Linked DNA regions of Xenopus tropicalis. Each later gene encodes a partner of the first gene's protein in a complex. Links are inferred from orthologs where the notes say so. Each region holds a gene or a part of one and is shown in the gene's direction. Other genes may lie near its edges. The genes, in order: med26, med8, med21, med13l, med18, med12 and ccnc.

Region 1 (4,150 bases):
TAAGACGTGTCCTTTTGAGAGGTCTTGTTACTACATAAATTCATCATTTTAACTGCATCACCATCTGCTTCAACAGTCCAGTCTTATGCCAGCCTTATTTGAAATCCAAGTGTGTCTATCACTTCCCCTGAGCTGAAGGTCTGGGGCTTGAGCACCCGGACCTCAAGAAACTGTTGGTGAGTTCTACCTTAATATATTGCATTTTTTCAATATTCATACATCAATAAGTTTTTAAGACCCAAACACAAAAACCAAGTTTTATGCAGATGGGAAGCTTACCAATTTTATTTTGACCACCTGTGCATCAACGATATCCACGAATACCATTGTACACTATAGCGCTAATGTCTCCTTGTTGAAACCAAGAATACTAACCCAAAACAATAATTATCCCCTGATCACTAGTCCTACACCAAACTAAGTTGTCTGGAACCCACCACCCCAGAAATGACTGCTTGACTGCCATATGTGAAGATGATTCATCATTTCAGAGAACCCATTTCCAGCTCCCTGCTGTCCAGTGTTATACAGCTTTACACAACAACTGGCAATGCATGGCACTCTACATGGTGATATTTAGCTTGTGTGCAGCTACTAATATTTCTTGTACTGATATAGGTTCCAGAGACAGTTTGGAACTCAGTAGAGAATGAAAAAACTGGTAATGAATATGTTTTAGAGGGCTACGTAGAACGTCTGCCTCTCCATATTTTCTGAATCTAACCTTTGTCTCTGAGATAAGGTTACAAGACAAACTAAATAAAACAAAACCCAGACAATTCTAACATATGCAGGTTGCAGGGCTGAAATAAGTGTAACCTGATTTCACTTGAATATATGGCAATATGTGTAGCACTTCTAGCTAACTTTTCTAAACAAACGTTCGATTCTTTTTCCTGCAAACTTACTCGTATGACTTATGAACTACAACTCCCAGAATTCCACAAAGAGTTCCATAGTAGTTCATAACGACCCACGGGTCGCTCTGTTTCAGTGTCGCTGACTGAGGTGATGTAGTTAAATAAGCCCCTCCTTCCAGCTAGGCTTATAGTCTACTGCACAAAAGTTGCAGGGTAGACAACAGTGTTTATTTTAAGTGATGCATCTTGCCTAGTAACAACTCAGGTGCCTAAAGGCTAGCAGGCGCACGGGCTGCCCCCTCTCTCCATGGATACCGAAGACGAATGACAGCTTTAAGTCGTGTCTGACACTTCCTACTGAGGGGGAAGATGAGAGACGTTCGTGCGTGACGTACGTGCTACCTAGGGGGACTGTGACGCCAGGACGCCGCTACCGTCACGTCACAAAGCGTGCAGCGGCGGACTTCCCGGCGTGCCTCGGGACTCCCGGTCGCTCGACTCCATCGGGAGAGACGCGTCTGGGAGTCTCCGGCTTTCTCGCTTCTTCGCTGCTCTCCCTGCGCCCGGGAACTCGTGTTCCTTCCTCCCAGGGAACATGCCGCGCCGCCCTCCGCAGTGATCCCCGGACTGAGGCCATGACAGCCGCTCCGGTAACCCCGCGGGAGATCAGGGAGAGGCTGCTGCAGGCCATCGATACGCAAAGCAACGTGAGTCAGGGGGGACAGGGAGTGGAAAGAGCGCAACACGGGGTTTCGGCACTTGATGAAACCCTCTGAACCAGCAGTGAGAAGCTAGACTAGGGACGACCGGGAAAGGGCTGACGGAGAGTGACTGGAGGCTGCTGTGACACTATCCCTTGATTATGGGTGGTTGGTGGCTAAGGGCTGGGGAAAAGAGAGGTGTCGTTACTCTGGAATGCACTTTTTGGCTCCAGGTTATTAGTTGAGGGTCACATGAGGCTGGGAAAGACCGAGTCCCCTGGAGCCAGAACGTGCAAGAGCCTTAGGGTGGTGGAGGCAGTGGCACTGACCATGCCGGGAGCTGAGAAGCCCACAGTGGAGTGCTATAGGTAAGGCAGAGCTCGATAGGAACAGCTAGTTGAGAGCCCCTTCTCTGTGGGTAGGTGAGAGACGAGTATAAAGCCTGAGAGCTGAGCAGGAAGTGGGCAACTGGGGAATGGAGGATTATGGGTCCCGGCGTTTATCTGGGGTTGCAGTCCTTTGTAGCAGGGACCCCTGGCGCTTGTTTTAGGCCATCTCGCGTTCTTAATCCGACTCTGTATATTCGAGCACATCCGTCCTTACTTTGTAGGCGAGGTCGGGGATAGGGCCTAGTCGCGGCCTTAAGTTAGCAGACTGCCCTTGTAGGCACCGGCACATGTCAGACTGCTGGCTAGGCTTGCGATGCCCGAGTCGGTGGGACTGCCAAAACACACTCCTTTGGCATATTCTTATGTTCCTGGCAGTGCAGATGTGTGCTTGTGGGGACAGGGTGCATTTATCTCATGTTGTTGGCATTACTCTGGTGTGGGCAGGCGGTGTGCTTGTTAAACTGAGAGATCTGTTCTCAAAGAAACAGAACAGGGAAAGTTCAGAATGCTATTTATTGTATTTCATTTAGAGATTTGTCATGGGTCCTTATGTGACCGATTTATCTTTGACTGAAGTGTATGGCATTTATAACTGCATTATATACAGACCTGTTGTTGTATGTGCTGTTATATTTGAGGTGTAACAACTCCCACAAATTAGAAGGCCAAGTAATTTGCAGTCAGCAATACAATTTATTGGTATGTCTCAAATTTGTAAAAGCTTTCACTGTTGTTTACAGTATATAATCTACTGCACTTTCTATCTTCTCTTGATACTTATTTTAGCATTGGCAGGATGCGTCGGCACCTATAGAGTTTAATTCTGCAAAGCACTTATGTAGCAAAAGTTTGAAGTACATTGCAGGATAAGATTTGTAACCATTATTAACATGTATCTATAAAGCATAATCTCTTTGTAAACAACTTCTGAAGTTTGAGGGTTTTTTTTACTGAAGCCTTTACTATAAAGAGTGAACACTACTATTAAATTGATAATAATCTATTGCTGAAAACCTACTTTCAGTTATAGCTTTAAATACATGTGTATTTCCTGTATCACTGGAGATATACAGCTTGTACATTTAGAAAGGATTTGGACCTTTTAATGCCAGAAGCATCTCAAAGTTATTTTGGGGTGAGGGACACATGGGTATGTACATACTGAATTAATTTGTGTCTTTAATGCTGACACATACCTTCTGAAAGTCTGTATTTGGTAGCTGTACTTTTGAAAGGCCTGTGTCTGCATGGGAATTTTTAAGCTGTAGGTAAACAAAAGCACATGTAAAAATAGATTTAGGCAACTGTGATAAAGGATCCTGGTTTCCAGAAAAGCATATATTGTTTAGGTTGGGTATGCTTTATATTAGAATTGATTTGTAATTTTTTAATATCTCACAAATAGTTAAATATTTATTGCGCTGTATTACACAGGTGTGAAAAATAACAACTAAAGGTGCTGAGCAGTACAGAGCTAGGGCTCTTTGATAGATGCATTAGAGGAAGGTACTTGTAAGTGTTGTTCCTTTCTTTCAGTAACCACTTTTGGGAGTGTTCGGGAAAAAAATCAGTAAATCGCTACACCTTTGGCTTTAGGTATAGTAGTAGCCCTATTGTAATCAGTTTGTTAGCCTGCAGAATTGTTCAGCAATTTTTAACCCTGGTTGCTACTTTGACCCTTTTAATGTTTTTGCATTTTCACTGGAGAACTCCTTATGAATCTCATATGATGTTATTGTGTAGTGCACAACATGTTTTAGAATAACGGGTTCTAAATGAAGAATCTGTTAATCCGAAAGACACTGTACACTACACCATAAAATTATTATAAACTGTCACAGTTAAGAGTTTTTTTTGTTTTTTTTTTTTATTTTAAACCCATAGAATAACTGAAAGATGAGATGTTACTTGTTCATGCTTTTTGAGAACAAGCATGCTGTTTTGTGTTTGGATTTTTTTCTGTATAGAGGCATTGCTTATGGCTTACTTTTTTTTTTCCTTATAGCTTATGAGGCACCTAGGTGACCTGTTCATACCTATGGTATGGGTTATGCTTTTATGCTGTTTCTTAAAGGGGTTTTTCACAGTTAAGTTAACTTTTAATATGATGTAGAGTGATATTCTGAGACAATTTGCAATTGGTCTTAATTTTTTTTTTTTATTTGTAGTTCTTTAGTTATTACATTTTTAGTTTAGGAGC
Region 2 (3,943 bases), on another chromosome or scaffold:
CAGCGATTTGCCAAAATTGTTGAAGTTGCATTGAGAGGAAACTTCGCTGATTTTGGCGCCGCATATGCCATCCCATCAGCGATTTACATTCTAGCCAGTGGGAAGGCATATCGGGGAGATTTGTCATGCAGCGACTAATCTCCCCGTCTGTCACAGCCCTTAAACTGCAGATTTAGGCCCTTCAGACTGATTCGGCAGCTCAGCCATGGGGCCTTCCATTGGGCCTACCCAACTGATATCTCCCAGAAAATCCACCAGACATTGATAGTCAGGTTTGATTCAAGGACTGCGTCAGCTGATTGCCTGTGGCCAATCAACTGGATTAGCCCAATATCACTCACCTTAGCTGGGCATATTGGGGGAAAGATACGCTGGTTTGACAACCTTGGCAAACAAGCAGATTTTATGGCGTATAGCCGGCTTTACTTTGATTTCCACAGCAAAAAAAAATGATCAAATGTTGGTAAAATGCTTCCACATGAGTTGTATATATAAACATGCATGTGTTATCTGCCTTAGTATTTGCATGACACAATACAGATATTTCATTAAGAGCATAGGAAGTTCGGCAAAACATCCATTTGGTTCATAAGAAACTTAAGGGTCGCACATCTCAAGTGGGGACAAATTGCCTGCTCCAAGAGCAAGCAGAAGCCACACAACAGGATGTCCTGAGACAACATATGACTGATTTCTCCAAACTACAATAAAAACTCTGCTTTTCTCGGAACAGCAGCTCTATGCATGTTCCCATAGCTTGGTGCAGTGACTTATAGTGTAACTGCTAGCAAGCCACAGTTTAATAATCCCTAGGATGTTCGGAATCAGCCAAAGGGGGCTTACTCAGGTACAGACGTGTAATGTGTGGCCGTCACTTTAAGGAAGGAGTGGCTACAACAGACCGGCTACAAATAGCGGCGTATACTTTCGCATGTACTTAATATGTACACAATCCCCTCTTTGTACCTCTGTATCTCCTTTTTCTGCCATGTCCCCAGAAGTTTCCCCCCACCCCTGTCTTCGGGTCTGGGGGGCGGATAGGCATTCGAGACTGGAGTACACAAGTCCTACCCCCTCTGACCCGGAATTACTCTTTTTTTTCCAGAGGCGAGCTCTTACCCGGAAGTGCTCCGTCTGAACGTGGAAGAAGTGACCGGAATCTTTATAGCCCTAAGGAGAGGGATTTGGCGGAAAACGTGAAAATGCAGGTAAGATTGACATAAGACGTGTTTCATTAATGTTTATGTTAGTGCAAAGGCGGAGTGGAATTGTTTTCGCTAATTTGTATGTAAATATTTAGTAGCTGTTCTTATCAAATAACGCTACTCCGTCCGTAAAGTAGACCTTTTGTGTCTGCAATGAGTAGTACAACTGACATTTAGGGGCTGATTTACTAACCCACGAATTCGAATCCGAATTGGAAAAATTCCGATTGGAAAACGAACATTTTGCAACTTTTTCGTATTTTTTGCGGTTTTTTTCGGCGCCTTTACGACTTTTCGGAAATTGTCGCGACTTTTTCGTTACCAATACGATTTGCGAGTTTTTCGTAGCCATTACGATGCGCTCGTATCTTGTCGCGACTTTTTCGTATTGAGCGCTCGGAAGCGGCGGCCGAAACTTTCAGACTTAGCATGATTTTGGAAGCCTCCCATAGGACTCAATGGCTCCCTGCAGCTCCAATCTGGCCCATACTGAAGCTTGAATGAATCCGAACGCTACGAAAAAATCGCAACATTTTGCGCAACTTTCGGAATGGCTACAAAAAAAGCGCGACTTTTCGCGTAAGTTTTAACGCTACGAAAAAATCGCCAGATTTTGCGCAACATTCGGAATGGCAATGAAAAAGTTGCGATAATTTTCCGAAAAATCGCCAAATACCGATCATTACGAAAAAAACGCAATCGGACGCATTCGGCCCGTTCATGGGAAAGTAAATGTGCCCCTTAGTATTTTACAGAAAGATATAGTCTGTTATTTGGTGGAGAAGGCAGTGATCCTGAAATTACATTTGAAATCCAGTCACTTATCAAATCATGTCACTTTCACCTAAGAAATAGTTCCAAAATACAATCATTGATCACCCAAGATGCTGCCAAAATTCTTATTCACTCTCTTATAATATCTCGCCTGGACTACTGGAACTCTCTGCTAATTTCACTAAATTCACTCTGTTCTTTTGCAATTCCACTGTAGAACTACAAATCTATGGCAGCTATTTAAAAATGCACTAACAATCCAACTGATGCAACACCTTCTCCTGCTTATAATAATTTAAAAAAAAAACCTTAGATCCTTTCTACACTCCTGTTGCTTTCAATAATTAAGAGTGCAAACTACCATATAATATTCTTTTTGGATGGGTGCTTCACAGCTTAAACATTTGCCAGAGGTTAAAAAAGGCATAAAAACAAAGGTTAAAAAAAGGTTTATTCATACGAAAAAGATATGGTCCCCATGAACTACATGGACTGAAAGCCAACACATTCAACAATTCAACTAGACTTAAAAATGGACAATCCCAGAAAATAAACCCAGACATCAGGCTCAGAACAAAAGGAAAAATAAATTTATAATAATGATTAGGCGAGAGTCCAACCTTATCCTCCTCCCACCCCCTATACTGCTGTTATGAATTGGACCCATTTCTTTGTTACTCTCCCAGTTCTCATGCAATTTCACTGTCAAATTTGCAGCAGACCTATGGTAGATATGGAAATGTGTACATATTCTTTCTCTTAGTCTGCTCATTTCTACTTCTTCTAACAGAAATTTATCACTAACAGCATCAAACTGACATCTAATTTCATTCAGTTTAATTTTCACTTCTCTTTTTCTTCTGACATGCTGACTGCTGTTACCTATACAGGTATGGGACCCATTATCCAGAATGCTTGGGACCTGGGGTTTTCCGGATAGGGGGTCTTTCCGTAATTTGAATCTCCTACCTTAAGTCTACTAAAAAAATTATTTAAACAGTAATTAAACCCAGTAGGATTGTTTTGCCTCCAATACGGATTAATTATATCTTAGTTGGAATCAAGTAAAAGGTACAGTTTGTTTTATTACAGAGAAAAAGGAATTATGTGAATTATTTGATTACAATGTAGTCTATGGGAGATGGGCTTTCCATAATTCTGAACTTTCTGGATAATGGGTTTCTGGATAAGGGTCCGATACCTGTACCAACAATCTATTACATTGTTGCGCTTCAGTACTTTTCGCATTGGGCCATCAACTATTTGAGTCAGTCCACCAAATTTCACTTAAGGTCTGTGTCAGAAGTTGCCATTAATTTGCACCAAATATTGCAAAATTGCACAAATTAATTTTCCTGCTCTGCTGCTTTCCATTACTTATAACAATAACCAATCACATGGACAATCTTTAATACTACTGCTGCCATTAAGCTTACATCCTTCTGCAAAGTTAGTGGTAGACATATGGCAGCTTACATAAGAAGTTCTTAATTATGATTAATATGGACAGTAAAACTGCCATAAACATTTTTTGCAATTGCATCTTCTTTTCTGCTGATTCCCAGCACATGTGCTGCTGTCCATTACTGAGTTTAGATGCTGACTCAATATTCTGTATATAGAGAATATAAATGTCAAGATATAAGGGTAATAGTAATACCCTTATATTACTACATGGCAGCTCTGAAACCAGTGCAGCTAACAACAGAATTTAATAATCAGCCCTGCAGGCAAGTTTGCACAACTTCAAAAAAAACAAAGCAATGCATAGGCCTTTCCACCAGCAATTCACTTTATTGCTGGTGGAAAGGCTTTTTGGGCAGATTAGTTGCAGTAGCAGAGATTTATCGCGGATGACTAATCTCCCCGTGGGCCAATAACCTTAGGATGAAGGCCCACGGGGAGATTAGTTGCCTGAGGTTAAATCTCCTGCAGGAAACTTCATGCAACTTTGGAAAATTAAG
Region 3 (4,112 bases), on another chromosome or scaffold:
GAAGGAATGTTCTGGGCACACAATAAGCTGTACCCCCATACTGTACTGTCTAAGGGAAACACCATGGCACCCCCTACCCATATGTATAAATACAAATATACAGAGAGGGAATGTTCTGGGCACACAATAAGCTGTACCCCCATACTGTACTGTCTAAGGGAAACACTATGGCACCCCCTACCCATATGTATAAATACAAATATACAGAGAGGGAATGTTCTGGGCACACAATAAGCTGTACCCCCATACTGTACTGTCTAAGGGAAACACTATGGCACCCCCTACCCATATGTATAAATACAAATATACAGAGAAGGAATGTTCTGGGCACACAATAAGCTGTACCCCCATACTGTACTGTCTAAGGGAAACACTATGGCACCCCCTACCCATATGTATAAATACAAATATACAGAGAAGGAATGTTCTGGGCACACAATAAGCTGTACCCCCATACTGTACTGTCTAAGGGAAACACTATGGCACCTCCTACCCATATGTATAAATACAAATATACAGAGAAGGAATGTTCTGGGCACACAATAAGCTGTACCCCCATACTGTACTGTCTAAGGGAAACACTATGGCACCTCCTACCCATATGTATAAATACAAATATACAGAGAAGGAATGTTCTGGGCACACAATAACAAAAAAGAAAGTCTAAGCAGGCACTGCCCACACAGGCTTTTCAATACAGATAATAAGGGAAAGTCATATTCAATTTGGGTCCCAATTTCTTAGGGCCCTTATGTGCTAACCAGGGGCCCCAGGGCCACTGTATCTCTATGGAATTATCTTTATTTACTCGCTCTCTGAGACCCCCCAGTAACAGGATCAGGGTTAGAGAGCAATCCCAGCAATCCCACAGGCACCAATAACACTGTCTCTTTAAATTCTTCTTGATTCTATTTATCCTGAAACAACATAGACAGACTGGCGACTCTGTAGCAGCAACTCCACAGCAAAAGTGTAGCCCATGGAGGATTATGGCCCCCCCCCCCCCTTCCATCATAAATGGAATATAAAACCTGAATACAATTGTCCAATAGGCAGCATCGCCCTCTAGCGACCAAAAGAGGTATCACACTGAACGCTATTTAGCAAGTTGGCAGGGAACGTCCAGTGTAGGTAGAAGTACACATGCGCAGTCTCCTTTCCGCCGTTACAACCCCGCCTCTACTGAGGCTGGCCAATAGAAATAGGCGTTTCTCGTTCCTCCTATTGAGAAAACGCCGCAGTGACCCTTAGCCAATAGAAACCTTTATTGTACCAGTTAGCCAATAGGAAGCGGCGCTGAAGGTATGGGCGGCTGGTTCGGCTTTGCCAGCTGGAAAGATGGCGGACCGGCTGACGCAGCTCCAGGACGCGCTGAATTCGGTGAGCGCTTTATCTGTGTGTGGGGTTTGTGGGGTTTGTGGGGAAGGGAAATACATCCTCTCGCTGCCCGCAGTTGGGTCCCATCTCGGCTTTATAGTCACATTGTAACTAATGGTTTATTCCATTCATTGCTCGCAGCCCCCACACTGTGTCCAATGGATCTTATTACCCAGAACCCCATGTCTATGAGGGTTCCCTCAGCTGATGCGGATTATATCGCCGCCCCATCCCATATATATCCCCGTATATCCCATATATATCCCTGTATATCCCATATATATCCCCGTATATCCCATATATCCCCCTGTATATCCCATATATATCCCCGTATATCCCTATATATATCCCCCTGTATATCCCATATATATCCCTGTATATCCCATATATATCCCCGTACATCCTATATATCCCCCTGTATATCCCATATATATCCCCGTACATCCTATATATCCCCCTGTATATCCCATATATATCCCCGTATATCCCATATATCCCCCTGTATATCCCATATATATCCCCGTACATCCTATATATCCCCGTATATCCCATATATAGCCCCGTATATCCCACATCCCCCTGTATATCCCATATATATCCCCGTATATCCCACATCCCCCTGTATATCCTATATATCCCCCTGTATATCCCTATATATATCCCCGTATATCCCTATATATATCCCCGTATATCCCATATATCCCCGTATATCCCATATATCCCCGTATATCCCATATATCCCCGTATATCCCATATATCCCCGTATATCCCATATATATCCCCGTATATCCCTATATATATCCCCGTATATCCCATATATATCCCCGTATATCCCATATATCCCCGTATATCCCATATATCCCCGTATATCCCATATATATCCCCGTATATCCCATATATATCCCCGTATATCCCATATATCCCCGTATATCCCATATATCCCCGTATATCCCATATATATCCCCGTATATCCCATATATATCCCCGTATATCCCATATATATATCCCCGTATATCCCATATATATATCCCCGTATATCCCATATATATCCCCGTATATCCCATATATATCCCCGTATATCCCATATATATCCCCGTATATCCCATATATCCCCGTATATCCCATATATATCCCCGTATATCCCATATATCCCCGTATATCCCATATATCCCCGTATATCCCATATATATCCCCGTATATCCCTATATATATCCCCGTATATCCCATATATATCCCCGTATATCCCATATATATCCCCGTATATCCCTATATATAGCCCCGTATATCCCTATATATAGCCCCGTATATCCCTATATATAGCCCCGTATATCCCTATATATAGCCCCATATATCCCATATATAGCCCCGTAAATCCCTATATATATATCCCGGTACAGATAAGTACTTGCTATTGGCAGCAGTGCCCAGCTCCACCCCCAGGTTCTGACTCCTGACACAATGTAGCAGGTCAGTTTAATACCAGCCTATTAACTCCCTCAGTGCCAGGGGGGCATTGGATGAATGGAGTTGTAACCCCTCCCCTTTGTCTCTCCAGCTGGCCGATCAGTTCTGCAATGCCATCGGGGTCCTCCAGCAGTGCGCTCCCCCCGCCTCCTTCAGCAACATCCAGACGGGCATCAACAAGGACCAACCGCCCAACCCCACTGAAGGTGAGAGACTGCGAGTGGCCCCCAAACTGCCCCGTTACCCACCCAAATGCCATTGTAACCACGCCCACTGCGCACTGACACACCCCCAGCACTGACTACCAGACCAGCACACAAAGGGTGTGAAACTGTCTGTCACTGCTCTGTGTGTATCAGCCAATGCGTTTATAGACACGGGGTAGGAGTACCGGGAAATACACTCCCCCGTGCACAGGAAGCAGAGACAGTCACACGGGTACCAGGAAATACACTCCCCCGTGCAAAGGAAGCAGAGACAGTCACACAGGTACCGGGAAATACACTCCCCCGTGCAAAGGAAGCAGAGACAGTCACATGGGTACCGGGAAATACACTCCCCCGTGCACAGGAAGCAGAGACAGTCACATGGGTACCGGGAAACACATTCCCCCGTGCACAGGAAGCAGAGACAGTCACACGGGTACCAGGAAATACACTCCCCCGTGCACAGGAAGCAGAGACAGTCACATGGGTACCAGGAAATACACTCCCCCGTGCACAGGAAGCAGAGACAGTCACACGGGTACCAGGAAATACACTCCCCCGTGCACAGGAAGCAGAGACAGTCACATGGGTACCGGGAAACACATTCCCCCGTGCACAGGAAGCAGAGACAGTCACATGGGTACCAGGAAATACACTCCCCCGTGCACAGGAAGCAGAGACAGTCACATGGGTACCGGGAAACACATTCCCCCGTGCACAGGAAGCAGAGACAGTCACACGGGTACCAGGAAATACACTCCCCCGTGCACAGGAAGCAGAGACAGTCACATGGGTACCAGGAAATACACTCCCCCGTGCACAGGAAGCAGAGACAGTCACATGGGTACCAGGAAATACACTCCCCCGTGCACAGGAAGCAGAGACAGTCACATGGGTACCGGGAAATACACTCCCCCGTGCACAGGAAGCAGAGACAGTCACATGGGTACCAGGAAATACACTCCCCCCTATATTTATATCAAAACATTATATCGATTGTTCTGCTTTAGTGCCTTCATACTCGTTTCCCAGTCTGTTGCTATGGGCCTCTGTAGGGGAAGTTCA
Region 4 (3,500 bases), about 33 Mb from region 1:
GTGAGCCAGATAACTTCCCATCTGCATACTGCACCAGATTTAGTTTTTGTCCATTATTCTTTATTTTTTTGATAAAACAGTTTGTGAGGTTCTCTCGCTGTTTTCCAACCCACTGTAAAAACCAGCTTGATCTTTGTTTTAATAATGGTCCAGGTTATTTATTTTTTTAGAGGTGTGGGGCTGTAAAAACCAGCTTGATCTTTGTTTTAATAATGGTCCAGGTTATTTATTTTTTTTTAGAGGTGTGGGGCAGAGGCTGGTTTCAGGCAATTTGAGTGCCATGTTATATATAGGCAACAAAAACCTGACAAGCACTTGTGAGGTGATTCAAATACAATTACAGTTTTGGGACCGGTTATCCAGAATGCTTGGGACCTGGGGTTTTCAGCATAAGGGGTCTTTCTGTAACTTAGATTTGTACTAAAAAAATAATTTAAACATTATTTAAACCCACCAATATGGATTAATAATTAGTCGCTATCAAGTACAAGGTACTGTACATTAAAAATTTTTAACTATTTGCTTAAAATGGAGTCTATGGGAGACTGCCTTCCCGTAAATCTGAGCTTTCTGAATAACAGGTTTCCAGATAACTCTGATCCCATACCTGCACCTTGTAACAGTATATGTGTTTGTTAATATAATGCCACAGAATACCGATCACCTTTTTTCTCTAATATTTAGAAAGGATATTTCTGACCTTTTGCCGCTCACCATCAGCAGGTGATGGAGGGGAAAGGGGGTTGAGTTTGACTAAAGGTGTGAACCACTCTCACTCCACCATGTGATAATGTAAAAAAAATTTTTGTCGGTGGGCTGACTCCTTAACATTATGCCATTTGTTATACTATTGTGAACTAGCACATTAAGCAAAAGTGGACCGTTTGTAGTTTGTTAAAATAAAGTACTGTGGGCAAATTCATTGCTTCTTTTTCAGCGTTTTGGATAATGGGTTTCTGAATAATAGATCCCATAGTTGTAATTTGTAGTTACTATAACTCTTTTAATAAACACGAGAGGAAAATAAAAAGTCACAATTGCTGTTTATTATATGCGCTGTACAAAAGGGATTAGCTGGAACCTTACATTGATGTTATGACATGGATGTGTAAGTTTTGCTAATGCCCATTGTCTTTTTCTGTTTTAGCTCCTTACTTATCCACATTGCAACTAGACAGCAGCCTGTTATTACCTCCTAAGAACCAGCCACCTACGGTACAAACCAGCTCAAGCCCAGCTGTGCCGTCTTGTCCTACTGGTGTTCTTTTTAACACCACTCCTAATGGCACAAGTACTACTCCTTTACCACCACCACCTCTATCCTCCTCCACATCTCTTCCTGCTGGAAACAGCACAGTACCCACTGGGTTCAATAACTGCCCATCACAGAACACTTCAAGTATTGTGGAGCGACCATTAGGAAACCAGACCACAGGAGACCCAGAGCCTAGCCAGCAGTCCATGCAGCAAGAGACCCCAGAAAAGTAAGTACAGATGCTGTATTAAAATGAAATTAAATATTTGACTTCTTGCCCAACACAACAGCAGTTATATGAAAAACCTGGTAGTCAGTTCTTAGAAGGGGATATGGAAAACAAAAAAAGAAGCTTTGTAAGAACTGTAAAAATGTACTTTTGAAACTGGGTGAGAGAACACTGACATTTCCACTGCAGTCAGTAAGTCAGACAATTCACTCCTGTACCTAGAGATTCATACACATTAGGCATCACTAAATTATTGCTGACATATATATGCATGTTTATGTGTCTTCACTTTGGGCCTGATTAGCAGTAGCAGCAAAAAGCTTTTAAGGCTTTCTATGCAGTATCCCACATGACTCCAAAGACAGTAGCATGTTTCAGCAGAAATTGCCCTTATCCTTTCCCGCTTAGATTACTGCAATCTCCTACTAACTTGCCTCCCAGACTCCCACCTCTCTCCCCTGCAATCAATCTTAAACTCTGCTGCCAGGATCCTTCTGCTCTCTCCAAAGAGGGAACCTGTTCAGCCTCACTTAAGCTCTCTTGCATGGCTGCCTGTTAAGCAAAGGATTGCTTACAAAATCCTAACATTCAAAGCCCTTCACTCCTTTGCTCCTCGCTACATTTCTTCACTGGTCTCCCTGCATGTTCCTGGTCGTCACCTCCGCTCCTCTCAGAGCCTCCGTCTTTTTACACCATTCACACCCACTGCGCTCTCTCGTCTTAAACCTTTCTGTCTTGCTGCTCCTTACCTCTGGAACTCTATCCCTGAATCCCTCCATAGGGAACTCTCACCCACTCTCTTTAAGAAAAAGCTCAGCTGTTACCTTCTGGAGCACTAAAACATTTTGCCTAGTCCTGCGCTTAAGGGAAAATGCCCATACCTGGTGCACTCTTACCTTCCAATTTGTGCTTGTATGTTACCCAACCACTTAGATTGTAAGCTCTACGGGGCAGGTACCTCCTTCCTACTGTGTCTCATACCACATGGCACTTATTCCCTGTGCATTTATATATTTATTGTATTTATTTATTATATCACTTGTCCTCCTTCTGTGTAATTCTGTGTATTGTAAGATTGTACAGCGCTGCGTACCCTTTTGGGTCTTTATAAATAAAGTTATACATACATACATGTATTCGTTTTTAGTATTTTTGTATTGCTTATTTTTTCTTTTATATGCACTGTAAATAGACTTTTTTAATAATAATATTAGTAAAATCCTGTCAAATATTTTTATGATTCAAAGGATATTTTGCTTTGTTTAATTTAGAAGGATTTTTAAACATATAATATACAGCTTGTATTGTCTCTTTTACATTAACAGTGCCACTGAGCGGGAGAAAATTGGCATTCCCACAGAACCAGAACCAGCTGGAGCACTCAGTTCTTGTCCAACAGTAGTTATATACATGGTGGATCCATTTACATACACAGTGGATGAAGACTGCCACCCTGGGAACTACTGGATGCTTGGCCTGATCAGATGTTTTACTGACATGCTGGAGAGTTTACCAGAGCCACTTCGATCAGCTTGCATACTTCAGGTAAACATTGTTTGTTTTTTATGTGTGTTACCATAACCTTTATGTGCTTTTCACATAGAGCTTTTATAAGACTTTTCTCAAGACTTGAATCGCGCTTGCTTGCAGTGACACTTATAATATAGGGGGGTGGTGGCAAAGAAATGATTATTATTTAAAAGATCTGTATACAGTGGCACCCATATTGTACGGCAACTTTGTCGACATTTTACTATTTTCCCAGGCAACTGTCAGCAGACATAGACACGCAGATGTGTCGAGTAAAACTGTTCGTATTGTACTCTACTGCTCATGCATGAGTCTAAGTTTGTGCCAGGGACACCTGGGAATAGCAAGTAAAATGGTGGAGCTTTGCTACTTTTTTCCCTGGGCTGGTGCTTCTCTTATTTTTCCTAAAAAGAGCACTAGCCTGGGGAAAAAACTTACTGACTGAATTCACTTGGGGGTCTACCATAAATGTTTAGCATCCTTGTA
Region 5 (4,129 bases), on another chromosome or scaffold:
AGAATTGTTGTATATTACGTTTTGGGGGTTTCGAAAAGCCAAAGGTGACCACAGCTCTGTAGCAATGAATATATGTGCCTTTAAAGGAGACATATTGGATAAATGAGAAAAACACTTATTTTGTAGGCAATTATAAATAATATAAGGTGCTGGTTTCACTTTGTGCTAAAAATTAATCCTATCTGTAAAAATGGCCCCTTTATTGGAGCTCCCTATAGATTGTATCACTTCTCCGTCCAGTGTGAAATGAAGAGTGGGCGTGTCCTAATGGTCCCTTCCAGAAGCACAGTAGGAGGGGGAGAGCCAATCACAACCCTGCACTCACACAAGCAAAGACAGGCTTCAGTTCCCTATCAGGTCAGCCTAGCTGCTGATTGGTTCCTATCCTACAGTGTAGTGTACGGAGGGCCGCCGGCTCCCCAGCTCATCCAGAGAATTCAGCCAGCAGGAAGTGGAACTGATGGGCGGGACTAGTATGGTTTTGGTGGAATTTCTCAATAAATCAGGTGAGTGATGGAGGCATGGTCAATCAAGTCAGGGGTGGGGTTATGACGGGTGATCGGCCACTGGCAACTGTCAGTCTAAGAGAGTCTTGCCCTGTTTCCCTAATTTGAAAAACTGGGCAGGGAGTTTTGCCCCAAACAGTCCTCCCAAAAAGTGAGCTGTCCGAGTCAAACAGGGCAGGTCCTGAAGAGACAAAAATCAGTATTCAAGCTTTACCATTGTCATCTGTTCTGAGCAAGAAGTGGACAGACTTGCATATTTTTTGCAAGTTATAATTGAGTCAAAATTAAGCCACCAGTGCTAGCATTAACCAATGTTATCACATATTTGTAATTGCGCCAAGACAGGTTTAAGAGCAAGTAAAGATCTATGATTTGTACTAAGATATATGGTTGCCAGTAGTAGGGTGGCCCGATTACTTTAAATTTAGGGACATGTCTAAAAAATCCAGCTAGCAGGGCTGTATTGATTTTAAATGCAATCAGTGCTGCCCTGCAACATGTATTTATTAGACGTGGTCCTGAATTTTCAGTAATCTAATCACCCACCAGTAGGGGAATTTTTGGTTTTGGCAGATCGTATTGGCTTCCTACGAAATAAGGGGCAAAATACCCCCCTCCCCCCACGACTGCGTTAATACCTTCTATTTCGAGCGTCCTCTCCTTTACGGCACATACAAGCGTGCTACGTCACGGCCCAGTCTTCCGTGCCTCAGCAGGCACCCTGGTGCCCCGCCCTCACCCCAAGTGCGTCACACGCACGCAGTACGCAAATGCAAAAGCTCCTGGTGTTCTGGAGCCAGCCTCCTGAGGACTTGAGGGAGAGTTGTTTTATGGCGGGTTAGCCGTGCACTTAGGCACCGGAACTTAACTTATTAGCTGCTTGAGCTTGCTGGCTGTGCTCTAAATGAAGTAATTGATCCCGTCGCATCCCGGTTCCATTCACTTATTTACAAAATTTTGTCGGGCACTTTGTTTTAGTAAGTGTATGTATTTATCAGCTGCCGTGTTTGTACCTCTGTGTCTTTATTGTTAATGAATTGTAAAAAGAAAACACAGCTCTGCATATACAGTTATTACATAAAAATGTACACACAAAACACCTAGGATTGCTGTCTTTTCAGTAGGAAATGACTGGCCTTACAGTCTTTGTTTTACTTCCTGCTTAATAACTTTGGAATAACGTTGGGATCCCCAAACCTTATTATGCATGAACCACATAGAAAGGTAAAAAGAGTTAGGGAGGAACACACGCATGTGAATGTTCATGGGGTGCCAAATATGGGCTGTGATTGGCTATTTGGTAGGCCCTATGTGGACTGGCTAATTTGAGGCTCTGTTTGGCAGTGCACCTGTTTTTTTAACCATAACTTGCCTCCAAGCCAGGAATTCAAAAATAAACACCTTTGAGGCCACTGGGAGCAACATCCCAGGAATAAAACAACATTTTGCTAGCCTGGTAGTACTCTACTTAACAGATCTAAAAGTGGGATGACCCCCATTTATGTCTATGTGAGGCTTGTGCACATAGTGCTATGTCAGGTATTGTTAAAGGAGAAGGAAAGGATGAATCACCGGGGTTGAACTCTTTGTGAAAGATTAGGCAAAAGTAACCTGATTTTAAGGATTTGGATATAGTTTGGCCTGAAGCTTGGATTTGGCTGAACCCTGCTGAAAAAGGCAGAATCTTCACCAAATCCTGAATTAGGTGCACCCCTAAATTAAACCATACCTAGGAAAGTAGGAAAATAATCTGAAGCATTGTACTGGCAAAGTGAATGCAATTGTTTCTGTTTTTATTCAGGACAAGTTCAGGCTGGAGGGGGGTTCTAGTAGAACATAAGCAGTGCAGTATTAGTGGAGATTCAGCCTTGTCTTGACTACAATTGTAAACATATGAATATTGTGTATAATATATTTGTTTTGTTTATTTAGAGAACTAACATTTTGCAATGGAGGCTCCCCCAGTCACAACAATGCCTGTATCTGGAGGAACTATTAACATGATGGAGTACTTACTGCAAGGTAAGAACAGCCTAACAAACTGTACTGTTACTGTATTAATGGTATTAGTTTGTCCCCTCTAACCAAAAAGTCTGTTTAGGCCCCTGTTTGTTTAGCAAGGTATACGAAAACATGGTTCTAGTAGTCACTGTATATAATTTTATAGCTGTCAAAAAATGTAAATAGCATTTGGTCACGTCACGGCCCGGTCTTCCCTGCCTCAGCCGGCACAAGCCCTGGTGCCCCGCCCTTACCCCCAAGTGTGACACACGCATACAGCTATGCAGAAGATCCTGGTGTTCTGTATATAATTTTATAGCTATCAAAAAATGTAAATAGTATTTGGTCACGTTTACAGAAAATAGCCTTCTGTCTCGGCATATCATTCCATTTCTTTTTAGCCCCAAGTAATGCCAGTCCTGCAGTTCATTTATTTTCTGTTTATTATGTTTATATAATGCCAACCTGATGAAGCACTAATTATTAGTCATTTACAAAAGCCTCTGCTCACCATTGGAGCTGCTATTATAGGGTCGTAATTAGTGATGCCTTACCCACACATGCCTGGCATCACTGGAGTGGAGGGGTTTGGCAGAATAAAGATATAAATAGGATGGTAGCCAGCTAGTGGAGTGCTGCAACATGCTGACATCACAGGGTGGTACATGGGTAGAGTCAGGACTAGAACAAGAAAAGTGTTGCACCAGCCCGATCATGCCCAGCCATTGGGTCCAGACATTTTAGGCTGGTCTGTGCAACACTAGTCTCAATCAACTTCACACAACAAAGGTTTGATTAAATTAAAATTTGGTTTATCTGTATGTTTTTCGAGAAAAATAAAAACATGCAGACATGCATAGATATTCCTGTTAGATAGTGCCTAGATAAAAATCAAACTCATGGCATCTGTGCTGAAAGGCACCAGTGGTAACCACTGGTGCCTTGACATGCACTGATAAAATCCTATGACTTTACAGTAAACTCTTTTGAGCAGGACCCTGTTTTACCTCTTGTATTGGTTATTGGTTGTATTCCTTAATTTTTTTCTTTTTTAATTGACAATTTTTTTGCATCTAAAAGTTTAACTCTCAAGATTTGCATTATATCTATATGTATCTCAAATACTGAATGTGTCTGTACGTGAATCACAGGAAGAGAGAGCATAGAGAGAGAAGGAAGTGAAGTAGGAAGAAAGAAAAGGAAGAGAACAGGGGAAAGAGAAAGGAGAAAGAAGAAAGAAAAAAAAATATGAAGAGCAAATAATATAAATTATTAGCTATAATTCCTGGATATCAGCCTCAGTAAAGTTCTTCCATGAGTCCCATTGCATTGTGATATTCAAGGGTTTGTGAGAGGTTGATAAAGTTTTTTAGTTCCAGCATTGAGGGAATAAGATCGGTTTTCCATTTTTGAGCTAAAAGAAGCCTTGCTGCTTCTAATATGTGTACTGCAAGGAGTTTGTTGCTTAAAGGAACAGTAACACCAAAATATGAAAGTGTTTTAAAGTAATTGAAATGTAATGTACTGTTGCCCTGCGCTGGTAAAACCGGTGTATTTGCTACAGAACGCTCCTATAGTTTATATAAATAAGCTGCTGTGTAGCCATGGGAGCAGCCATTCAA
Region 6 (3,018 bases), on another chromosome or scaffold:
GCAACAGCAGCAGCAGAATCAGGCACCACCTCAGCAACAAGCCCCTCCACAACCACCTCCCCAGCAGGTCCCCACAGTCCCACAGCCACAAACGCAAGGACAGCCACCAGGGCTTGGCATGCAGACACTGCAAGTAAGTGTGGGGGTTGGCTCTGTGCTGTCTGTGTCCACTGAATGGAGGTACTTGCATGAATTACTGAACTTCACTGGCGACTTTATTCCCATTGGCTTCCTGTCTTTCCTCACAGATCTAAGTTTTACACATTTTTAGTTTAACCTTTTTCCTCACAAATCTCTCTCTCAGTTTCAGAGACAGGGTTTACAGCAGACCCAGCAACAACAGCAAACGGCAGCTCTGGTCCGCCAGCTCCAGCAGCAACTGTCCAGTAAGTAAATCTCCAAGCTGAGGCACCATAATCTACACACAATGGGCAACCCTCACTATAGAACTTACCTTGCCGCCATTGCAGTTCCAAAGCCAGTGAAGAAACAAACACCCACAAAGTCTGTCTTTATCTGTACCCATTAATGCTGCTTCTTTTCCAGGCACACAGCCACAACAAAACTCCAATCCGTTTGGCCGCTACTGAAAGGTCGTTCCTCCCTGTGATTTTGTACCTCTTTTGGATGAATTCTCTCGGCTCTCTCCAGATTGATGAGACAGAAAGGCAGCACTTTAGAAGATTTTATTTAATTCAAGGAGCGGAATGCGTTTCTGGTTCCTGTTAGAAGTGATCGGTGTTACCAGATTTTCTGTGACGTAAAAAAAAAAAGGAATTAATTGTGGATCTGAATATTGCATATGTCCAAGTCACAGAACGAGGGACGTGTATATCTTGTATCCTCCCCCCTAGTGAATTATGGGGGTTCTTATGTCTTGTGAACATTTATCTTTTAAAATGTTTTTAATATTTTGTTAACCAAATGATTAAATTGTCATTTTGTAAAGTATTTATATGACTGTGCAATCTCAGCTATCAAACAGATACCTCTGAGGGCTGAATCTGATCTCTGACCATGTCTAGTATGTACTGAGTGATTTGTGCCAGCAGGTGGTATCTGGTCCTACTGTGGCTAGCAGAAACCTTTACTGCAAAAGAAAGCCATAGGCTTTTACAATGTTACATTTGGCGTTTTCTCATCATGTGACTGACTTGTGCATTCTGTATATGAGTGACACTTTCTTGCCAGCTACAGATTGCAACTGCACTTCTAGTCATTCCTCATACACTATAGTGTGTAGTATACCTCTGTCTTATACACCCAGAACATGAGGTTTTTTTCTTATAGGTCAGGTGTGATAACGCTCCATGTGTATCTGTAGTGTGCACTGGTCTCTGTGCGGTACTCACAAGTCTAGAGTATCACAGACATAAGCTTTAGATTTCAGTTTGAGGTCTGTGTACAGATGTATTCTGTGTGTAATTCAGTGTTGCAACTGCATAAAGAAAAAATGCCGACATCATAACTGGACTGTGGACAATACAAACAGTAAAGCTGTGTTTTTTAGATTCAAGTACTCGTTTGAGGACCAGCATCAGGCCAAGGCCTCCTTAGCTCATCATGAGGTTAAAGATGAATAGGAACATTCATTTTTCCAGTCTCCTTGATGGGGTATCCAAGCAGATAAATAAGCCTTTACTCCAAATCTCACCTTAAAGGAGAAGAAAAGGTTAAATCACTGGGGGGAGGGGGTGGGGAATCAATAGGCACCCTCCAGGGATTATAAAATCATAACCCCAGCCCCCAGGGCTCCTGCTAGTAGTTTTGAGTGAGCACCACTGAGTGATTGCATTCCACTTCTTCAGTGGCCCCGGGCTGGCACTGCCCAGTACTGTAAAAAACAAAAAACCGCTTTTTGCTTACAGTTAGGCTTTAGCCTGACCAGAGAGAAGAGGGATAAATATCGCTCTGTGGTGCATGCTCAGAAGTACCCTGGGCTGGTGCAGCTTTCTTCTAACAGGAGGCACCAACCTGGGGTATCAGGTAAGTGGTTATAATAACCCCCCCCCCTCCCTGGGATTAAACTGGCCTTCATCCTGGACTTTCAAGTCTTTCTAAAATGGCAAATAAGCACTGACCATAAATCCTAGCCATACTAGCCTTCAGGCTGGGCCTCCTGTTATGTTTCCAGCCCCCAGTTTGGATTTATATGCACAAAATTAATCTCCAGTTAGAAATTACTTTGTCCTGAGAGCCCAGTATTACTGCTCTAATGTAGATGTTTGGTTTGCTATCCAAAAGACCTTGCTATTGTGTCCTTGTACCTGAGACCCATTAACATGCTATTGCCCTCAAGGTTAATTTTCTGTTGCTTTCCATCATCATCCTTGTTCAAACTCGCAATAACAATGCAGTCATTGTGTCCATTCCAATGCCATTCTGCCATAACCTCTTTCACCAACATATATTAATTGGCCTTCTGTTACTGTGTACCATGCAGCATCATTATATGTCAAGCTAATATTTTGCTTTATGCAGTCATTTCTCAGGAGCAATAAAGGAAACATATCTCAGGCTATCTCTACTTTCATTATATGTCGTCTTCATATCTAGGAAGGATTTGTGAAGCTCATGTTTGCCACTCTGTTCACGTTAATGAATTTTCTGAGGATGTCCTGCCTTACACATTACTTGATTATTTTCTCATTGCAGATATATTTCAAAAGAGTAACAAACCATTAATCTCTCAGTAGCTACAGGGCATCCATGCTAAGTATCATACCTCTGGTTTTCTTTTACTTTCTAAAATCATGCCATTTGTGGATATAAGAATGTTTTCATGCACTGAAGCATTTTCATCAGCAGATACAATAGAAGAGGCAGCCAATTACAGAACCAACTCTGTAGTAGTACAGATGGCTCAGCTCCAATAAATAATTAGTGGCTGCCAAAGGATGTGGTAGTTTAATATGTAAAGCTAATGTGAATAAGGCCCAGGGCCTAATGGTGTATACACCCTTAAGTACTTTGAGATCTTCCCAGACTCCCTTTCATCTGGTATGGTTCTAGTAGTTT
Region 7 (3,500 bases), on another chromosome or scaffold:
CAGTTGCTTTGAGCCTTCCAATAATGCCAGCAGTGAGTTGGCAGGGACCTTCCTCTATACTTGCCCCCAGTAATCCAATATGACGGTGATTTAGAGCTTCTATTCACCACCAAGAGCCACTAAATTAAAAATAAGACAAGATATGATGTACACTGGACTTGCAAATGTGTGAATCGTTTTGAAATTTCCATATATGCGTGCATACATATGAACTAAAATGTGATCTGCTTTTCGTGCTAGTACTAAAACTAGATCATGAGAACCTAATTAAACATATGAGTGAAAAATAATGCTTGCTCTTTAATTGAGGAGAATAATTCAAAGTTAATTATTTGTGTGGTAAGATTGTGAACCTTTGTTTTCAGTAACTGCTGTACCCACTTGGGCAGCAATAACACACACAACACTCCAAATTAATCAAATAATGTACATTTTTAAACATACTACAGGTATAGGACCCATTATCCAGAATGCTCGGGACCAAGGGTATTCCAGATAAGGGGTCTTTCCGTGATTTGGGTCTCAATACCTTAAGTCTACTAAAAAAAACAATAAAACATTCATTAAACCCAATAGGATTAATTTGCATCCAATAAGGATTAACTATATCAAATACAATCTTAAAAATCTGAATTATTTGATTAAAATGGAGTCTATGGGAGACGGGCTTTCCGTGATTTGGAGCTGTCTGGATAATGGGTTTCCCATACCTGTACTAACATTTCTTATTCATTTGGGTTTGAGAGAACACTTTGGAGTTATTTCTACACAAACATTAATACATGCCCAGTTATATTTTTGTCTGTAATGTATCTTTGTATCTGTTACTGAAATCATCAAAATGATTTGGTCTGAATAAGAAAATGTATGTATGATAACTTTGTATTTCCAAGCCTTTTCAGAATGCTTTTTGTAGCTGCTTGTGAAATGTTTTAGATGTACAGGCATGCTTTTCCATAATGTGTTACAGTTTTGAAATAGCTTTGCCAGTAGAGCACTCCATAGCTTTTAACACTTTTAAATCCTATTATAAAATTTAGATTGCAATAATGGTTTGTGCATAAGGAATACATAATGAGGTGGAATAGTTAGCTTTTTGCTAGGATTATTTTACTAGAGGCTTTTCACAAGTATGAGCTTTTGGGGGACATTAAAGGATTCTTGCAGTTTGTAATGTGTTGCCACATTGTCCATCCCTGATACCCCATTCCTTACATAAATTATTCGATTAACTAAATAGTTGTGGAAAGTAATGGCTGCGAGCCAAATGGACAAGCTGCTTTTTCTACCTACTGTCTCATTCAAATGCACCTAATAGATGGTATTTCCTGCCCTTTCTAGCTTTGCTTTGCCCCAGAACCTTTTTGTATAACCTTAATGGGTCAGCCATGACCGTTTGTGTATTCTGCCTTTATCCATTATAATATTGATAGAATTAACCGTGGGATTGACTTTTTATGGACTGCCAGTTACATATCATGTCTTCATGAATATATTATACTAGCCTGGTTTGTAATGAAATACATTTTTCTAATTTGCAATTTTACTTGTTGCCTGTTATTTATCTAAATGTCACTATGCATTGTGTAAACCCCAATTCTAGGGGCAGATATAAAACTTCTGGTTTATGTTTTATCAACAGTATGCAGCAGCTGCTTTGTATTCAGTTGAATGGCAAGCTGTGTTTGTGACACTCTTGTGCCATATGAGGTGGGATTGCTCAGAAATATGAAAATCAATTTGTACATGGTAGCCACTTGCCAAGACATGTTTCTGGCAGCACCTTTCCCATTAAAGTTAATGAGATGCAAAAGCAGATTTGAATGCAGATCTTTCTGAGGACAGCAGAAATCAAATTCCCTCCAATGACAGAATTTAAAGGAACAGTAACACCAAAAAATGAAAGTGTATAAAAGTAATAACAATATAATGTACTGTTGCCCTGCATTGCTACAACTGGTGTGTTTGCCTCAGAAAGACTACTATAGTTTGTATAAGTTAGCTGCTGTGTAGCCATGGGGGCAGCCATTCAAAGGAGAAAAGGCACAGGTTACTTAGCAGATAACAGATAAATCCCCATTATATGGGGCTTATCTACTAGTTATCTGCTATGTAACCTGTGCCTTTTCTCCTTTTTTCCAGCTTGAATGGGTGCCCCCATGGCTACACAGCAGCTTATTCATATTGTAGCTTTTCTGTAGCAAAAACACCAGTTTCTTTGCAGAGCAACAGCACATTATATTTTAATTACTTTAAAACACTTTAATTTTTTGATGTTACTGTTCCTTTAAGACAATCTTTTGTCTTTCAGCCTACTTGAACTGTAAAGATATAGCAAGCAGCATCTCAGTAGGGTCACATCTGACTGCAAGTCACCCTAACCTCAGGATCTGTTTATGCACAGCTCGTGGATATCTACCTGGTTAGGGGCATTATTTTGTATTCATTGATTAATATCTGAATGATTTTGTTTTTTGCAGATATTGGAATGTGAATTCTACCTATTAGAATTAATGGTGAGTAAAGTGGTTTAATTGTCCATAAAAATATAGGTCTGCTTTCTTGCTCCTCTGTTTTGGTTTTATTCTGAAAGTATAGTTTAGGCAAGTAAAACACTAAGGGGCACATTTACTAACCCACGAACTGGCCAAATGCGTCCGATTGCGTTTTTTTCGTAATGATCGGTATTTTGCGATTTTTTTCGGAACATTTTCGCGACTTTTTCTTTACCAATACGATTTGTGCGAAAAAACGCGAGTTTTTCGTAGACATTCCGAAAGTTGCGCAAAATCTTGCGATTTTTCGTAGCGTTAAAACTTGCGCGAAAAGTCGCAATTTTTTCGTAGTGTTAAAACTTGCGCGAAATATCGCGCCTTTTAAGTTTTAACGCTACGGAAAAGGCGCAACTTTTCGCGCAAGTTTTACCGCTACGAAAAAATCGCAAGATTTTGCGCAACTTTCGGAATGGCTACGAAAAACTCGCGTTTTTTCGCGCAAATCGTATTGGTAAGGAAAAAGTCGTGATAATTTCCGTAAAGTCGCCGAAAAAATCGCAAAAAATACGAAAAAGTCGCAAAATGTTCGTTTTCCAATTGGAATTTTTCCAATTCGAATTTGTGTCTTAGTAAATCAGCCCCTAATACTTCTGTTTTTTTGCATGATATAGTGTGTGGGTTGTTATTTTTAAAAAAAGAAAAGGCAGTGTCTGTTTCTTGATTTACGTTACACTTTAAAAAAAAAAATAAAAAATATTTTTTAATACAGTAAAGACTGTTAAGTCTTTCAGTGCACAGATGGAACAGTCATTACTAGTCTTTACTTGTGCATCTGGAGCACACAATGGATTCAGGGAGGTGTTTGTGAATTGCATATGATTACATGAAGTAAACATTAACATTGCACATTGGGCTAATATTTTATCCCTTGTTTACAGGATTGTTGCTTGATAGTATATCATCCCTATAGACCCTTGCTTCAGTACGTGCAGGACATGGGACAGG

What was found.
Region 2: med26 (region 1) and med8 share a complex: the UniProt entries of both Homo sapiens proteins name them as parts of the mediator complex. The link is inferred for Xenopus tropicalis from reciprocal best matches to the Homo sapiens genes MED26 and MED8.
Region 3: the proteins of med26 (region 1) and med21 are in contact, whole or in part, in a cryo-EM structure (PDB 7EMF), measured with the Homo sapiens proteins. The link is inferred for Xenopus tropicalis from reciprocal best matches to the Homo sapiens genes MED26 and MED21. Residues at the interface, in NP_004822.2 of Homo sapiens: Ser481, Arg482, Asn483, Glu484, Ile485, Ser488, Tyr489, Ser491, Arg492, Ser495, Leu496, Ser498, Ser499, Ser500, Leu528, His529, Ser535, Pro537, Thr538, Asp539, Leu540, Pro541, Gln549, Asp551, Leu552, Ile555, Gln556, Trp560, Gly562, Val563; in NP_004255.2 of Homo sapiens: Ala2, Asp3, Arg4, Leu5, Gln7, Asp10, Ser14, Gln18, Asn21, Gly24, Val25, Gln28, Cys29, Tyr54, Leu57, Phe58, Leu61, Arg64, Thr65, Lys67, Asp68, Val71, Leu72, Asp74, Ser75, Leu76, Pro77, Ser78, Glu79, Glu80.
Region 4: med26 (region 1) and med13l share a complex: the UniProt entries of both Homo sapiens proteins name them as parts of the mediator complex. The link is inferred for Xenopus tropicalis from reciprocal best matches to the Homo sapiens genes MED26 and MED13L.
Region 5: med26 (region 1) and med18 share a complex: the UniProt entries of both Homo sapiens proteins name them as parts of the mediator complex. The link is inferred for Xenopus tropicalis from reciprocal best matches to the Homo sapiens genes MED26 and MED18.
Region 6: med26 (region 1) and med12 share a complex: the UniProt entries of both Homo sapiens proteins name them as parts of the mediator complex. The link is inferred for Xenopus tropicalis from reciprocal best matches to the Homo sapiens genes MED26 and MED12.
Region 7: med26 (region 1) and ccnc share a complex: the UniProt entries of both Homo sapiens proteins name them as parts of the mediator complex. The link is inferred for Xenopus tropicalis from reciprocal best matches to the Homo sapiens genes MED26 and CCNC.

The regions. Positions count from the first base shown.
Region 1 is NC_030677.2:112,239,190-112,243,339, forward strand, and holds the start of med26 (mediator of RNA polymerase II transcription subunit 26), read left to right. Parts: upstream 1-1,350; 5' UTR 1,351-1,495; coding exon 1,496-1,567; intron 1,568-4,150. UniProt on the Homo sapiens protein: Component of the Mediator complex, a coactivator involved in the regulated transcription of nearly all RNA polymerase II-dependent genes.
Region 2 is NC_030680.2:88,535,262-88,539,204, reverse strand, and holds the start of med8 (mediator of RNA polymerase II transcription subunit 8), read left to right. Parts: upstream 1-1,143; 5' UTR 1,144-1,202; coding exon 1,203-1,208; intron 1,209-3,943. Other genes in the region: KICSTOR complex protein SZT2, read right to left, coding at 967-990. UniProt on the Homo sapiens protein: Component of the Mediator complex, a coactivator involved in the regulated transcription of nearly all RNA polymerase II-dependent genes.
Region 3 is NC_030679.2:3,066,067-3,070,178, forward strand, and holds the start of med21 (mediator of RNA polymerase II transcription subunit 21), read left to right. Parts: upstream 1-1,312; 5' UTR 1,313-1,338; coding exon 1,339-1,380; intron 1,381-2,932; coding exon 2,933-3,047; intron 3,048-4,112. UniProt on the Homo sapiens protein: Component of the Mediator complex, a coactivator involved in the regulated transcription of nearly all RNA polymerase II-dependent genes.
Region 4 is NC_030677.2:145,408,500-145,411,999, forward strand, and holds part of med13l (mediator of RNA polymerase II transcription subunit 13-like), read left to right. Parts: intron 1-1,147; coding exon 1,148-1,484; intron 1,485-2,809; coding exon 2,810-3,029; intron 3,030-3,500. UniProt on the Homo sapiens protein: Component of the Mediator complex, a coactivator involved in the regulated transcription of nearly all RNA polymerase II-dependent genes.
Region 5 is NC_030678.2:78,266,422-78,270,550, forward strand, and holds the start of med18 (mediator of RNA polymerase II transcription subunit 18), read left to right. Parts: upstream 1-1,329; 5' UTR 1,330-1,483; exon of another isoform or gene 1,484-1,489; intron 1,490-2,438; 5' UTR 2,439-2,455; coding exon 2,456-2,528; intron 2,529-4,129. UniProt on the Homo sapiens protein: Component of the Mediator complex, a coactivator involved in the regulated transcription of nearly all RNA polymerase II-dependent genes.
Region 6 is NC_030684.2:44,426,791-44,429,808, forward strand, and holds the end of med12 (mediator of RNA polymerase II transcription subunit 12), read left to right. Parts: coding exon 1-133; intron 134-304; coding exon 305-386; intron 387-546; coding exon 547-590; 3' UTR 591-2,518; downstream 2,519-3,018. UniProt on the Homo sapiens protein: Component of the Mediator complex, a coactivator involved in the regulated transcription of nearly all RNA polymerase II-dependent genes.
Region 7 is NC_030681.2:82,038,208-82,041,707, forward strand, and holds part of ccnc (cyclin-C), read left to right. Parts: intron 1-2,480; coding exon 2,481-2,516; intron 2,517-3,433; coding exon 3,434-3,500. UniProt on the Homo sapiens protein: Component of the Mediator complex, a coactivator involved in regulated gene transcription of nearly all RNA polymerase II-dependent genes.